2 linked regions of the Caenorhabditis elegans genome follow. The protein of the gene in region 2 interacts with the protein of the main gene of each other region in a pairwise test. Each region holds a gene or a part of one and is shown on either strand. Other genes may lie near its edges.

Region 1 (7,479 bases), on a different chromosome or scaffold from region 2:
CCAATCATAATTTTGTAAGTCGACCAAAAAAAAATGTTTTTTTTCAACAGTTTTCATACCGTAATTTTGTTTTAATTATTCGTATTGAAGCATTGTAGGGATCAGAATATGCGACATTGCTTTAAATTTCCTCAAAAGCTAATGTTTTTCAAAACTTTGGCAATTGGTCAAAACTTTGGCCGGAAATTATGAAAAGTCTGAAATATTTTTGGTCGTTTTGGATCATTATAAGTGTATTTAGACGAAATTCCCACTGGCGGTACTCCACCTTAAATTTTTCCTAAAACAAAAAGAAATTGTGAAAACAACTTGAAGAAGCATACACTGAATGGGTTGATAAACACATAAAATTCCCACCCCTGCTAGTCTTCGCCAACTAAACTACTTTCCTTAAACAAACTTTAAAAACTTTTCAGGAGGAAGTACTCTCAATGCGAGTATCTCCAGAAAGCTGACAAAAATATCGCTTACCTATTCAGTTGTCTACACCTCGGAGGTTATGTGGAGTGTACTAAACTCTTGCAACTCATATCTAAACTTTCTACCCGATTTTTTCCTTAAATTCAACAATATGCTGTTAGTTTTTGCGTCTGATATTGTGAGTTATATTTATGAATTCAGAAAGAACATTTATTGATTTTCTTCCAGTTCACATTATCTCTACCTTTTATTCTTTTGATCTACGACTCAAATGTGAAAAGTGATTTGTTTAGGATCACCAAGCAATCTGCACCAGGAACTTTGCTTGTACTCACTAATTGATTTTCAATAAAGTCTGCGTAGTTATTGTTGGCTATTTCACGTTTAAACATTATTTAGATGTTCATGTTATTTCATTTTTCAAAACAATGTATCGCAGTTTTTTAGCTAAGGGGTGAAAATCGTATATGAAAAATAAATCAATAAATACTGCACTGAATTACACATAGCGAAGGGGCAACAATGACCGTCTTCGCGATACTCTCTAGTGATGTAAATGGGCAGGGGGGAGTACAGGAGGGTGTATGAGATTTTGACAGAGAGATAGTATGTATGTGAAAATGAATAATGTATGAATGAGGGGTGAGCGGCAAACGATTTTTTTCGGCAAACCGGCAAATTGCCGGAATTGAAAAATTTAGCAAATCAGCAAATTGCCGGAATTGAAAAATGTGGCAAATCGGCAAATTGCCGGAATTGAAAATTTCCGACAAATCGACAAATTGCCGGGATTTAAAATTTTCGGCAGATCGGAAATTGAAGTTTTGCACAACAAATTGCCGGAATTGAAAGTTTCCGGCAAATCGGCAAGTTGCCGGAATTGAAAATTTTCGGCAAATCGGTAAATTGCCGGTATTAAACATTTCCGGCAAATCGACAAATTGCCGGAATCGCGAATTTCCGGCAAATGGACTGAATTAAAAATTTCCGGCAAATCGGTAAATTGCCGGTTTGAACATTTCCGGCAAATCGACAAATTGCCGGAATTGAAAGTTTTCGGCAAAATGGCAAATTGCCGAAATTGAAAAATTTTGGCAAATCGGCAGATTGCCGGAATTAAAAATTTCCGGCAAATCGGCGAATTGTCGGAATTGAAAATTTCCGGCAAATCGACAAATGGCCGGAATTGAAATTTCCGGCAAATCGGCGAAATGCCGGAGTTGAAAAATTCCTGCAAATCGGTAAATTGCCGGTATTGAACATTTCCGGCAAATCGACAAATTGCCGGAATTGAAAGTTTTCGGCAAAATGGCAAATTGCCGAAATTGAAAAGTTTTGGCAAATCGGCAGATTGCCGGAATTAAAAATTTCGGGAAAACCGACAAATCGCAGGAACTGAAATTTCCGGCAATTGGCCGGAATCGAAAATTTCCAGCAAATCGGCAAATCGCCGGGAGTGAAAATTTCCGGCAAATCGGCATCTTTCCAAAATTAAAAACTTCCAGAAAATCGGCAAATTGTCGGAATTGAAAATTTCCGGCAAATCGACAAATGGCCGGAATTAAACATTTCCGGCAAACATAATTTGCTCTTTTTTGGAATTGCGGTATGTTGTTTTATCTTTTGGATACGGGTTTCAATCAATAAACACCATTAAATTTTTTTTCTGAAAAGACGTCAACAAAACCAACACGCACAAAACACTTTTCTAACCTGAAAAATTCCGTGTGACCGAACAAAAATTCATTGCAAAAACTTTTAATTTCAGACTTCCTCCTCACGAAATGCGCTAAACTCGAAATTCTTGAAATAGTTTTGATAACAAGTAACATATTTATAAGATCGATTGTGATGAGAAAAAAACAGTTTAAAAAAAACATGAAATTGAACTAAAAAGATAATAATCAAAGTTATCAAGAACGTTTAAAAAATTGGCTCAGGCTTTGGATCCATGAGCAACTCTTCCGGCTTCTTTTCCATGTGCGTTGGCGGAATATGTTTTGGCTCACTCGGTGCGGCGGCCACTTGTTTCGCAAGGTGAGGATTTCGGTTTCTCACAACTTTAATCATGCGTCTTGGTGAGGCAGATGTTGGCTGATTTAAGAGATCCGTTTTATTCTCTACCGATTTTCTTGTTCGGTAACTCATTGAACCAAATGCAGTCGTTAACATTCTTCCTAGACGGACCGCTGGTTTCTCTACGTTCGTTTTGGTTGGTGGTTTTTTTTCAACGGGGCTCGAAGATTCCACGTGGGTAGGTTTGTTTTGAAGAAGCGTAGGTACTAATTCTTCTTCTTCTTCTTCCTTTTGAGGCGCCCCAAATGATTGACGTATTCCCTCCATCTCGGATGAGCTTGATGAGTCTGTGGACGTAGAAGGCTGGTTTTGTGCACGTGGCGCTGTAGTCAATGCGTCTTTAAGAGTATTAGTGCGAAGAACGACATTCCCTTGAACTACAACTTTCGGAGGTCCGGTTCCGTTTTCAAAACGCAAGTATTTCTTTCCATTGACAACACAGAACTTTAGTGGCGCAGATGGCGGAGTGGGGGAGCTTGGCTTCTCACCAAATGCATTACGAGCATAAGAAACTTTGGATTTGTGCAAAAGCGCCTCGTCGGCAATTGAATGACCTTCCAAAACACGCGTTGCTAGGTGAACATAGTCAATTGGAGTTTTCGTTTTTTTTGCGTTCCATGAGATACTCGATGATCCAGCATCATCCTGTTCAGGCGAATGAAGCTTTCGCTTTCTGCGTTCTACAGTGTTCTGCATCTCACTTTGATTGGGAATATACGGTTCACTAGGTGCATCTTCACTGTGATCTCGATAAGCTTTTGCAGCTGCAGCAGCAAACTTGTTGTCAAGAATATCCTCGATTTTCCGTCTCCGAGATGTGAAACGATTATCTTTCCCATTGATGAGTTGAATGAGTTCTTGCTTATCAGCATCACTGAGGCTAAGATTATGATTCAGCAACTCATTTAGATTCGTCGATGGAGGCACCTTAAACGAATAATTTTTTAAATTTTTTTAAAATTTTCACAAGTGTCACAAGACTCACCGATTGCAAAAGCGCAACCAGCTCTGAGAACGGTTTGGGAGACGGTTTACTGAGAGACCCATTGACCATCCTTGGCACGTGGTTACGGTAATAAGATTTAATGGAATTCTTGAATGAGTAAAGCGGAGTGTTCGACGTAACCTTCCCTTTGTGCAGGTCGCCGACTCTCTTAAAACATTTCACCGTTGTAGAACAACGAGATATGACAATCAAACCTTCAGTGCTCTATAGATATCATGGCCACGCATCAATCTGTCCGGTGGCATCTCATTGATCTCGCTTTCCGTTTTAGCTTCAAAGGCGTCGCACATCATTTCGTACTGAAAAAGTGGTGTATGGTTTTTTTTAAACTAAAATCTCTAAACTAAAAGGGGGCAGGATAGCTCAGTCGGTAGTGGTGGCCGCTAGCAATCTGGAGGTCACAAGTTCAAGTCCAACCTCACCACCTAGGTTTTCATCCAGCCTCTATTGGTAAGTAGAGCAGTCCACGATAGGATTATCGGCCACAGTCCCCGGCTAGGACGTGGCTTAAATTATAACTCAGTGGGAGCACCACCTGAATCCCAGATCCGTAGTGCATAGGACTTGAAGAACGGATCGTCCTTTAATTCTTGTTTTCTAGTCTAATGTATTAATATCGATCACATATATAAAATAAAATAGAGGTTGTACTAAACAAAACACCAAAAATTTTGAACTTTTGCCATGAAAATTATAAATAAAATTAATAACTTTTAAATTAGAATTTATGTTCTAATCAGCTTTAGAAAAGTTTTCACAGCTTTTCAAACTTAACTATTTTGAAAAAAATACTGAACAACTTACTACAAAATCAACATGATCATAGCACATCCTTAGCCTCTCATGACGAATCGCTTTCTCTGCAGTTGCCATTCTAAAGTGGCCAGACATCACTGCCGCCATCAAAACTTTCACAGCTTCGTTATCAGTCATTGCAATGCTTTCTCGCATTAAAAGAGCCTTCTCGCAGAGTATGCACGGAGTCAGATAGGTACAATACGTGTAGTCACTCGGTTGAGATCCCTCTCGTGTGGCACGGGGTTTCGAGGGGCTGGGTTCACTTGGAAAGTGTGAAAAAATTTCCGCGCTACTTTTGAATTGTCCCTTGCTTGCAGCCGCCGTCAGAACATCCTTCACGCTTTGCGTTGGTGTTGAGTTTGGAATTGTATTCGCAAAATGCTTCATGATCGAAGCAGACTCAGCTGATTGTTCTTCAGTTGCTGAAGCTTTTTTCTCTTGGAGCTGAAACCATATACGCATTATTATGAATAATCTTCAAACATTTCTGCTTACCAATCGAACAGATTCCATTGACTGGGTAGGTGTTTGTATTGTCTTGACTTTTGGAATTGTCTTTTTTTCAGCTTGTACATTGGAGTTTGGCTGAAACATTGAAGATAGAACACTTCTTATTCAACCTTATCATGATTCAAAACGACCGAATATCATAATAAAACACTCCAAAAATTTTTAGATCTTTCATAATTTCCAGTCAAAGTTTTGGCATATTGCCAAAACTATGAAAAATATGAGCTTTTGAGGAAATCCACAGCAATGTCGCATGTTCCGACCCCAACAATGTTTTAATACAAGTAGGCAAAACAAAATTGCATTTTAAATGTAGGAGAACATTTTTTTGTCGACTTCCAAAATTATGATTGGCAAACACTGAATGATTGTCACTTTTTGACAGTAAATAAAAAATTTTCAAAAAATGTTTGAAAAGTTTTATTTTGATATTTGGTCCTTTTGGCACTAAAGGAGTAGTTTTTAACAATTTCCCCACTGGCGCTACTCCACCTTTAACTAGATATATCAGAAAATGGGAGAAAATCCTTAAAAAGCCATACCTCTCTTTTGACACCAACAACAACTGCGGCAATTGGGTTGAAATGCCGGACGAGCTCCTGGAAACATGTGAGCTGCAGAGCATCCGTTCCAATGCCGGCACTTTTAACAAACTTCATCGCTAGGGCATTGCATTTCTTGTTGAAAGCCATCCGATCGTTCGCCAAGCTTGACATTCGCATAGCATCAACGTTTTTCATTCGAAATTTTCTTTTCGCAATGATTTCTTCTTTTTCATCTGCCGAGACAACATCTTTAGCTGGAGCCGCTGGAGCCAACATTAGGAATCTGAATAAGTGATAGTGTATGATAAGCAAGATAGGAAAGTAAAGGAAAATTGTCATTTGGTGATGTGAAACCATTTGGAAAGAATTAGAAAAAAACCAGTTGGCATCAAATTTCGGTGAACATTTATAAAACTGATATAAAACTACAAAATATAAAAATGATGAGATCATCTCATCATTGTGAGGTTTCAGATGAATGATGATTAAAATAAATAGGTAAAATAAAAGTGGTAATTTTAAGGGCAATCAAAGTAACAGGGTAAAACTATGCGTATGACTTAATCATCAAAAACATCAATGGAGAAAAAATTATATATAAAAACAACAATCAGGAACGGTGGATGAAAATATTTCCACTTATTCGTTGCTGGGTGGTGTGGGGGTTGGCAGCTTATTAGCATCTTTGCGCGGTCGTCCGACTGGCTGAAAAAATATAAAAATAATTCAAAGCATATATTTTTCAAAAACTCACTCTTCCAGCAATCTTGGGCTTTTTAACAATTGGAGATTCTTCATACTCTTCCTCCTCCTCTTCCTCATCAGCAAAAGCAAAGCTTCGTCTAGCAACAGCTTGTCGAATCAATCTTCCACTTGGTGTTTTTTCAGGCACGTATTCGCAATCTTCGCCGACAATTTCTCCGTCTTCGAGTTGTACGTAACCTTTCTTAAGTGCACGTCGTTGAGATGTTCCCGGATTGTAGTCGTAGTCGGTGAGGCTTTTTTCAGCTTCTGGTGTTACACTATTCTTGGGATACTTCCTTGGGCGCCCTCTTGGGTTCGGAGTATGAGCAGGTGGTGTTACCAAGTTAAGAGGTCCATCCTCGTTTGACAACTCCCGCTTTCTATAGGTACGTTTTATCACTGGAGCATTGTTGTAAACTGCTGCTTGACTGGGCTCGTCGTCTGAAGTCTCTTCCGTTGGGGATCTTGACATTTCTTCATATTCCTCTTCTTCTTCTTCTTCCTGAGTATATTCAACACCGTCGGGGTTTAACATATTCGCCAAATCAATGGCTGAATTCTTATCAGTTCCAGACTTGCGCTCTTTGAGTTTGAGGAAGTTGTTCCCTTGAATGATATACGTGGTCTCAACTTTTTCTGGAGCAGCATCTGGAATCATTCCTTTCAAAAGTCTACCACGACTGCTGAACGCTGCATCTGGGAAATGGCTTCGGCAAATTAGGTTTTCCGTATTGGTGTGAAGTCGGGCTTCAAATTCTGGTCCAAGCTTATCCACCCATCTAGCCAAACGTTCCTCACTTCTCGGGACACGAAGCATTCCACCTCGGTCGCCACGTTTCGAACAGAAGCAGCAAACGCCCGGATTGTCGCATTCCTCATTTTCAGACGGTTTGACAGTTGGGAGCTTGAAATCTTCCTGCTCTATAACCTTGACAGTTCCGTCATGCTGATCAGCTTCCAGAACTTGCTTGCGTGGCTGGCGAAAGAGTTTCGGTATGATTTCTTGCTCATCCACATCGTTTCTCTCTGGCTCAGGTTCGGGCTCGCGGTAGTCAAAGTATTGTTGTCCAAGTTTCTTCAATTCCTAAAAACAATTAATTTGTTTCAAAATGTGCAATTTTAAAAACGGAAACTTACCGCTGGCGTTTCACGAAGATGATTATTTCTTTCGGCAAAATCGTGAAGAATCTTTCGAAGTTGTGAAGCAATAATGTGTGGACGGAGGGCGGAAACAGTGATCAATGCGTTCTGAATCAAGTCCAATGGGCAAATCAGAATATCATCGGCAGATTTCAGACGTAGCATCTGGTAGATCTCGTCGAGGGTCTCCAGGAAATGGAGACGGCAAATGTACGTTTTGCTCTCACGCGCCATGAAAAG
Region 2 (7,657 bases):
AAGTGTGAAGGTCGAATGAAATTTCGCTATTATTTTTCATTTATATGTCTGTCAAACCATTTTCCATTTTGAACACTTTATTCCAATTTTAAGTAATCAATTTCTTTATTCTCTAGGAAAATGCTCACGTGAAAATTTAAAAGTGGAGAGTGTGTAAATTTAGAGTTTTCAAGCTTCCAATCGGCAAATATTTGCTTTAATTTCATTTTTATGCAGAGAGCGGAGGAGCACACATACTGTTCAGGTGCCAAGAGGTCGTATTTGCTGTCTTATCATATGGTTTGGTTTGGCGCCAGAAGGAGGTCGGATATCCGTTAACCTCTAAAGTTTCGATGGCATCAGTTGGTGTTCTAGCTTTCTAACTGATCAGGTGCCATTGCTCACGTGGCTCCTGGTGATCTTGATTCTATCATCACATAGTTGTCTTTAGAGTTAACTCCGATGTATTGGCTGAATATTGTAGAAAAAGTCCTTGATCTTCTCATGAATACATTCCTCACGATTCACAATCTGCAATAAACCACCAGCAATTAATATTATGGTTATCTAGTACATACGAAAGAATGACCTAGGTTCTTTGCACCCTGTAGAACCTGTTTTTCCGTATCTCTTCATCGTGATTTAATTTGATTCGTCGATCGGTTTCCCCCATGTTATCATAGTGTAAAACCATGATGAAGCCTAATCATGTGGTGTGCACTCATTTTCTTATCATTTTTGCAGAAAAAATGTTTGATGACGAGCCATTCTCGTGGCGTCACATTGACATGCTTCCAGTTGTTAAATTTTTTCGAACCAACTGACGTTGTTGATAGAAAATTCGCATATTTCTTGGAATCATATGTCCTATCTCAGTGCACATGGAACGTCTAAAGAATGTGAGAAAGAACGGCAGAAGCTCATGATTCGATGTTTTTTTCCCATCCAGTCTGGTCAACTGTGATATTCCATGAACAGTCACACGTCTGCTCGTTCTTTCGGCCTGTTTCTTCTGTTCCTCCGCCAAATCACTCGTCATTTGCGTCTTTCTTCTCATGACGACCACTGCATGGATGGCTTTAAATTGTTGGTAGCCAACATTTTTCTTCTTTTTTTTTCTCTGTTTTTCAACTCATTCGGTTAGAGTTTAAGATTCGTTGAGTTTGGCACGTTTTCTGCTTGCAATCGGATATCTGTGGAGTTTAAAACACATATGTTCTTTTCTTTGCAAATTTGCTTGAACTATTCTCAAGTTTTCTCAAAATAATATATTTATCACCTTCTAGTTTTACTGATACGTTTAGTCAGAAGCCTTTTAAAACTATATAATTCTGGGATTTTCTTTTATTACATTCATCCTTACTCAATTTTAATTGCTTCTTTATACTTTATTATTCTATTCTATGATTTTCAGAACTTTAATTTCCACTTTTTCAGCCGAAAAACTAATGTATCGAGTGCTTTTGAGTGGTGCTGCTGGCAGCGGAAAGGGAACAATTGCACGAATGCTCGTGCGAGAATTCGAACCCCTAGGATTCAATTATTTCGCTGCTGGAGACTTTATTCGCGATCATATTGCCAGAGGGACAGGTAAGCATTGATAATTTCTGCCATTTAAAAGAAAATTAGTTTAAAAAAACCATTAAAATTTTGCAGAATTCGGAGTTCGTGCACAATCGTTCCTCAACAAGGGCGAGCACGTTCCAGACAGTATTCTGAACGGAGCCATACTGGCGGAGATGCTTAAAGCAGGACCACGTGTCGTTCTCGACGGATATCCACGAAACATGAGCCAGCTGAAAATGGTTGAAGAGCAGGCGCCGTTGAATTTGATCGTTGAATTGAAGGTTTGTGTTTTTTGTTTTTGAAAAAAAACAAAAATTTTTAAAAGTGGGTTTTTGAAAAAAAAAACAATTTTTAAAAGTGGGTTTTTGAAATAAAATTAAACAAGAAACGAAAAAAAAACAAATATTTTTAAAGGTTCCTCGCAAAGTGCTCATCGATCGTTTGTCAAAGCAATTGGTGCATCCAGCATCCGGAAGAGCATACAATTTGGAAGTGAATCCACCAAAGGAGGAGGTCAGCCGATTTTAAAAAAATTAATTCCTGTTTTAATGAATTATTTACAGGGCAAAGACGATATCACGGGAGAGCCACTGTTCAAGCGAAGCACGGATCAGTTGGAGGTGGCAAGAAGGAGGCTTGAGGTTTACGATAAGACAGAAAACAAGGTGTTGGACTATTATAAGTGAGTTTTGTTTTTGAAAATCTATAAAAAATGTTGAAATGTTGAAAAAAAAACATAAAAATTCTTCGAAGCAATTATTTTGCCTCGGCGATTATTCCATTACGTAATAGGGTTTAAAAATTTCTCCTATTAACCATACACGAAATTTTGTAATTTTTAAACCAAAAACCGACAATTTTTAGTTGGATGCGAATTTTAACTGTAATAAACGTTCGTTTAATTTGTTTTTGCAAATAAATATTTATATTTTAAATGAAAAAATTCGAAAAATCAATGAAAATTCCGCTGCGGCTAAAGTTTGAAACTACAGTACTCCTTAAAGGCGCACACACATTTTTCCATTCAACATAAGTTTGTCCTGTCGAGACCGGGTACCGTATATTTCGCTCAAAATTCCACTTCTATGTAATATACATTTATGGGTAATCAAAAAATGTGACCGTTGTTCAGAAAATAATTCACTTTCAAGAAAATGAAGTATCCTTGTTGAAAACTTAGATGATCAAAAATTAGATTAGACTGCCTAATTTTCAAGATTGAAACCTCTGTCTTCAACAAACCTGTACCTTTTTTTCATAAAAGTAAGCTATTTTTTGAAAAAACGATCTCATTGACATTGTTTGAGAGCGTTATTGGCAAATAGCTAAATTTACTTAATTAACACTTTTCTCATTTCCAGGAAGCAAAACAAGTGCATCACAATGTCTGGTGAATCATCGAAAGCCGTATTCGAGTCGGTTGCCGAAGTGATGCGTCGTGATCTTTTGACGACAACTCCAAGAACTGCATACGCATAAGTTCTACACTGAATACTGTATCCTATTTCTCTAACCATCCAGACCTTTGAACACCCATTGAACCATTTGATTACGGGTTAGTCTCCCTAGAAAATCGAATTAATTCTGCTGTTTTTTCTTCTCTCTTCCTTTCTCCATGAACGCTTTATTTCGGTTTGCCCCATGTTTTCCCCTGTTATCCAACAATTTTCCTATATCTGAAAACGGATTTTTGAAATCCAATATTTCTTAAATTTTTTCTCGACACGACACACATGATTTTATACACATGATTTTTCATTTATTTGTTTTCTTATTTTCTTCTCTTCAAGTTATGGGTATTTTTGCGTGTAAATGAAAATCTTTTCATATTTCTAAAATTTGTTTTCAAGTTCTTCATTTGCGGATTTTGACCGTAGGCTTCATGTTTACAGGATAGAAGAGAAGACAGAGAGAGACGACTTTTTCGCTGAAAATACGGTACCTCGTCTCGACACGACAACTTCTCGATAACTGAACAATATAAAGACATTAATTTTTAACACATCGTGAGAATCGAAAAAATCGATAAAAATTGGGAATAAACGAGAGTTTCAACCTACAGTACTCTTTAAAGGCGCATACTTTTTCTCGTTAAACATAAATTAGTCGTGTCGAGACCAAGTACCAAATTTTTAACGAAAAATTGTAACATTTCGAGTCTGTAATATTTAAGGAAATAATGAATGTCCTCGCAAAAAATATGTTCAAGTAAAGAGAGTGCAAACGCGCTCTGTTGAAAATTCAAAAGAAATGGGAGACGCAGAGGAGAGAAACGAAATTTCCCGATTTCTCTCCTTCATTCGTTTAATTTACAATCTATATTGCAAAAAACTAGATATTTTGTGGCATTTTTACAATTAAAAAACCTTTAAAAAATGGATCACCATGCTATGTACCGAACCGCTGAATTCAACAAAACTACTGTCCGATTATTGGCGGAATTCATCGAAAAGACTGGGCAGAATGCGACGATAGTGAATATGGACAGCTTTTTGGAGTTCTTTGCGTATTTGAATCCCACGGCTCCAATTCCAACGGTTCCAGAAATTGTGAGTTTTATTTATTTTTTTTTTGCAGATTTTTTGCAGAGACTTGAAAAAGTAAATAGTTTTAATATTATAATTTAAAAACATGTATTTCAGGAAAAACAATTATTGCTAAAATCACCGATTCGTTGCATTGTGTGTGGAATGGAAACTGAATCAGATTCCGCAGTGACATTAAGCATCGATAATGCTTCAATTATTCTCACAGCGACAGTAATTGGTTACTGTAGAGATCCAAGTGATGCAGTTAATCAAATTCGAAAGGAGAGTCTTCGAGCATGCACGAAACATTTCAACAGTATTGTAAGTTTTAATTTAAATTGAAAAGGAAAAAATTAAAAAAAAAGATTTAATTCCAGTTCCATGTCATCTTCGAAGGACTGCAAATCGAGAACACCTACTGTGCTCATCATGCAAAATACAGTCTTGCCAATCGTTGGTGCAAAGTCTACACGATGATTCGAGTAAGTTATTTAATTGGAAATTTAATAAAGTTAAATTTAAAATAAAAATTTTCAGTCTTCCCTGGGCGAGCAGTTCACAAAGTTCGATGTGCGCAATTTTAAATCAATATTGCAATCATTTTTGGATACTTTTGGTGAAATTGATGACGACAAAAAGGATAAAGAATCTTCTCATTTTGATGAATGTTTTGAAGAAATGGATTCAGAAAACGTAGAAATTAAAATGGAGAGCCCACAAGAAGAAGCTGCAGAGAAATCGAAGTTTTCTGAAAACCTAGTGGAGGTAAAACTGGAACCAATTGAAACTCATGAACTTGACAAAACTATATCCGACTTTTCTTCAAGTGATATAATTGATTCGTCCCAAAAACTGCAGCAAAATGGTTTTCCTGAAAAAGTGGAGCAAATGGACAAATATAGCAACAAATTGAAAGATGAAGCTTCAGACAAAAAGTATGAAAAGCCAGGAAAAAAGGACTACGTTGAAGAAGAGGGATACTGGGCGCCGATCACCGACAGCGAGGATGATGAAGCCTGAATTTATTTAATCAAACGTTTTGGAAATTTTTTTTGTTTTTGTCAATAAAACCATATAACAATTTTCCTGCACAACCAATACATTGAATCGAATCTTTTAGCCTCCAGAGTGCACAAATCTATAAATTTTTCAGGACTTGTTGTAATTTCGCATGATTTTGATGTGCCTCTTAAAGGCGCCCGGATTTATCCAGATGAGTCTTGGCACGCAAAAAAGTTTTTGCCGTTTTTGATCCATTTTCTGTTAAAAATTATTTTAAATCAGTTTTCGCATTACAAAAACTATTTTTTTTCATCAAAAAATGTGTGATTTTCTGTTTGTCGGCCAGGAAATAAAAAGAAAGCAACACAATTCGCAAAAAACTATGTTTTTTCATTGAGAAATGCAAGGAGAATAAACTAGAAAGCTGCCACAAAAAATAATACCATCAACTTTTATCGTGCCGAGACCCATCTGGATGAATCCGTGCGCCTTTAATAAGAAATGTCAAAATCTTGTGAAATTACAATATATCTATTTTTTGCACAATTAATATTTTGTATCGAGTTATTTAGCGCTGGAAATGCCCGAGAAATATTTCAGATTTCCAAATGTTTTGTTTTATTGCAAAAAACACGAAGACTACTGAACGCGCACACAGCCGAACACCAAATTGTAAACGCGCTCCGCTGAGTGTGCCGAAAAAGTCGGTGGTCGTCGGTGCTTGGTAAATACGTATTGATTTTCCAATTGCCAGCCACGGCAACCGGGTTGCCGAATGACTTGACATGTTTCATCTTCAAACTTACTCTGCATTTATGAACAGGAATGTGGATCCAAAATCGTGGTGGCTCACCGAGAAGGTAATTGCCGAGTTGCCGTAACCTAGCAACCGGCAATTATACCCACATTCTCTCAATTCTTAGTTTTTCCTCACTTCATTTTTTCTGTAGATAAATATCTGAGTTTTCCTTTTATTATTTTAATTCTTTTTTCAGATGTCTAAAATTGCAAAGTTCTACGATGCTATAGAAGAAGGAAGATTTAGATGCAAAATTTGTAATTATATCGGAAAAAGAGGACAACAAGGTGATTTGGATTTAAAAAAACATTTTAGAGATCGACTTTCTGTAAATCTCTAGAGCAAAACCATATAGTTTCTGAATCTAAAAGCTACCGTAGTTTTTTTTTTTTTTAATTTCCATCAATTTCAGTATTTTTTCAGGTTCCACGTATCCACAGATCAAACATATGAAAAGGTTACATCCAAATGAGTTTGCAGAAGTTGACGGATCACAGCCTCCGCAAGTTACTCTCAATACAACTACTCCACCTACAGTACTCCCAGTGGCTCCAAAAGTGGAAAAAATGGAACTGAAAGCAGATGTAGGTATTCTTAATTATAGATACAATTGCAGTTCACATTAATCGGGCAAGATTCAATGAAAAATTAAATTATTCAGTGAGAAAAACAATGTTTAAAAAACGTTATTTTTTTCATCAAAGAATGTTTTAAAAATGTTCAACATTAAAAACAGCCAATTTTTATAAAAAATTTGGCATTTTACCAAAACTTTCAACTTTGGAAGTCGATCAAAAACATCGGTTTTTTCTAAAAATTTGTTGATTACGTTCCAAATACTTATTTTTAAATATGCAATAATTTTCTAAATTTTTATTTTTTATTTTTTTATTTTTTTAATTCCAAATTTTGTAAAAGTAAAGTATAAGTGGAATTTTGGCAATTTACCAAAACGTTAACTGAGATTAAAAAAACCCACATTTTAGACAAGGTGAAATTTATTTCTCAATTATTAAATTTTTCTATTTCAGATGCTTTGCCAGCCATCCGATGAGCAACTGCGATTCCACAATCAAACTACAAATTTAATAACGAGTTTTCTTCGAAAATGTGGATTACCTGCTAATCTTGTTAATAATGCTAGCTTCATCTCTGTCCTACGACATTTAAATCCATTGGTGATGATCCCGAGTGCGGATGTTGTGGTAAGTCAGATCAATGCACTTCAATGTAGATCTTCAACCAATGTTTTTTTTTCAGAATAAATTCATGGATAGTCATGCTCGTGATCCATTTCTCTCATCGACACAGCCTCCGTGTATCATATGTGGAAATGAAGTACCTGGTCACCGAAGCATACGTGTATCTGATGATGATGCTGCGATCTTCTTGACAGCTGCAGTCCTCACTGATCAGAAGACAATACGACAGGCAAAACGGGATATTTTAAGTGAATACCTAACTGTTTGTCTTAGGCATTCACTTCACTATGTATGTATAAGAAAGCATTATTTATGAATATTCTTAATTTCAGTACAAAGCAATGCATAAAACTCTTGGAATGTCTGAGCAAATGGAAAATATTGAGGATCTTCCAGATAATGCCTTTCATACGGGACATTCAATTTTTAACAAAATTCTGAAAATGAGGCAAACACTGGATGATAGGCCACTGGAAGAAGCTAACGAAGACGAATATCGTGCACACTTGAAGCGATGGATGACATCTCATCAACCAAAAGTTTCGAAAAAACGAGTTCAAAAAACAACCATCGCGGATGAG

Evidence for each region.
Region 1: the proteins of lin-56 (region 2) and lin-15A interact in a two-hybrid assay, tested with the Caenorhabditis elegans proteins (2 studies listed by BioGRID).

What each region holds. Positions count from the first base shown.
Region 1 is NC_003284.9:15,730,127-15,737,605, reverse strand, and holds lin-15A (Protein lin-15A), read right to left. Parts: upstream 5,639-7,479; 5' UTR 5,632-5,638; coding exon 5,353-5,631; intron 4,886-5,352; coding exon 4,796-4,885; intron 4,745-4,795; coding exon 4,307-4,744; intron 3,802-4,306; coding exon 3,697-3,801; intron 3,650-3,696; coding exon 3,482-3,649; intron 3,424-3,481; coding exon 2,344-3,423; 3' UTR 2,241-2,343; downstream 1-2,240. Other genes in the region: srg-64 (Serpentine receptor class gamma), read left to right, coding at 417-598, 649-762; Protein lin-15B, read right to left, coding at 5,995-6,060, 6,110-7,183, 7,237-7,479. UniProt on the Caenorhabditis elegans protein: Synthetic multivulva (synMuv) class A protein. SynMuv proteins are required to repress the induction of vulval development.
Region 2 is NC_003280.10:10,446,850-10,454,506, forward strand, and holds lin-56 (Protein lin-56), read left to right. Parts: upstream 1-3,157; 5' UTR 3,158-3,920; coding exon 3,921-4,094; intron 4,095-4,187; coding exon 4,188-4,394; intron 4,395-4,450; coding exon 4,451-4,555; intron 4,556-4,610; coding exon 4,611-5,093; 3' UTR 5,094-5,156; downstream 5,157-7,657. Other genes in the region: putative adenylate kinase isoenzyme ZK673.2, read left to right, coding at 1,428-1,569, 1,636-1,826, 1,960-2,058, 2,109-2,227, 2,907-3,024; ZK673.4 (uncharacterized protein), read left to right, coding at 6,071-6,161, 6,298-6,458, 6,906-7,079, 7,135-7,365, 7,409-7,657. UniProt on the Caenorhabditis elegans protein: Required for translation, stability and/or localization of lin-15a.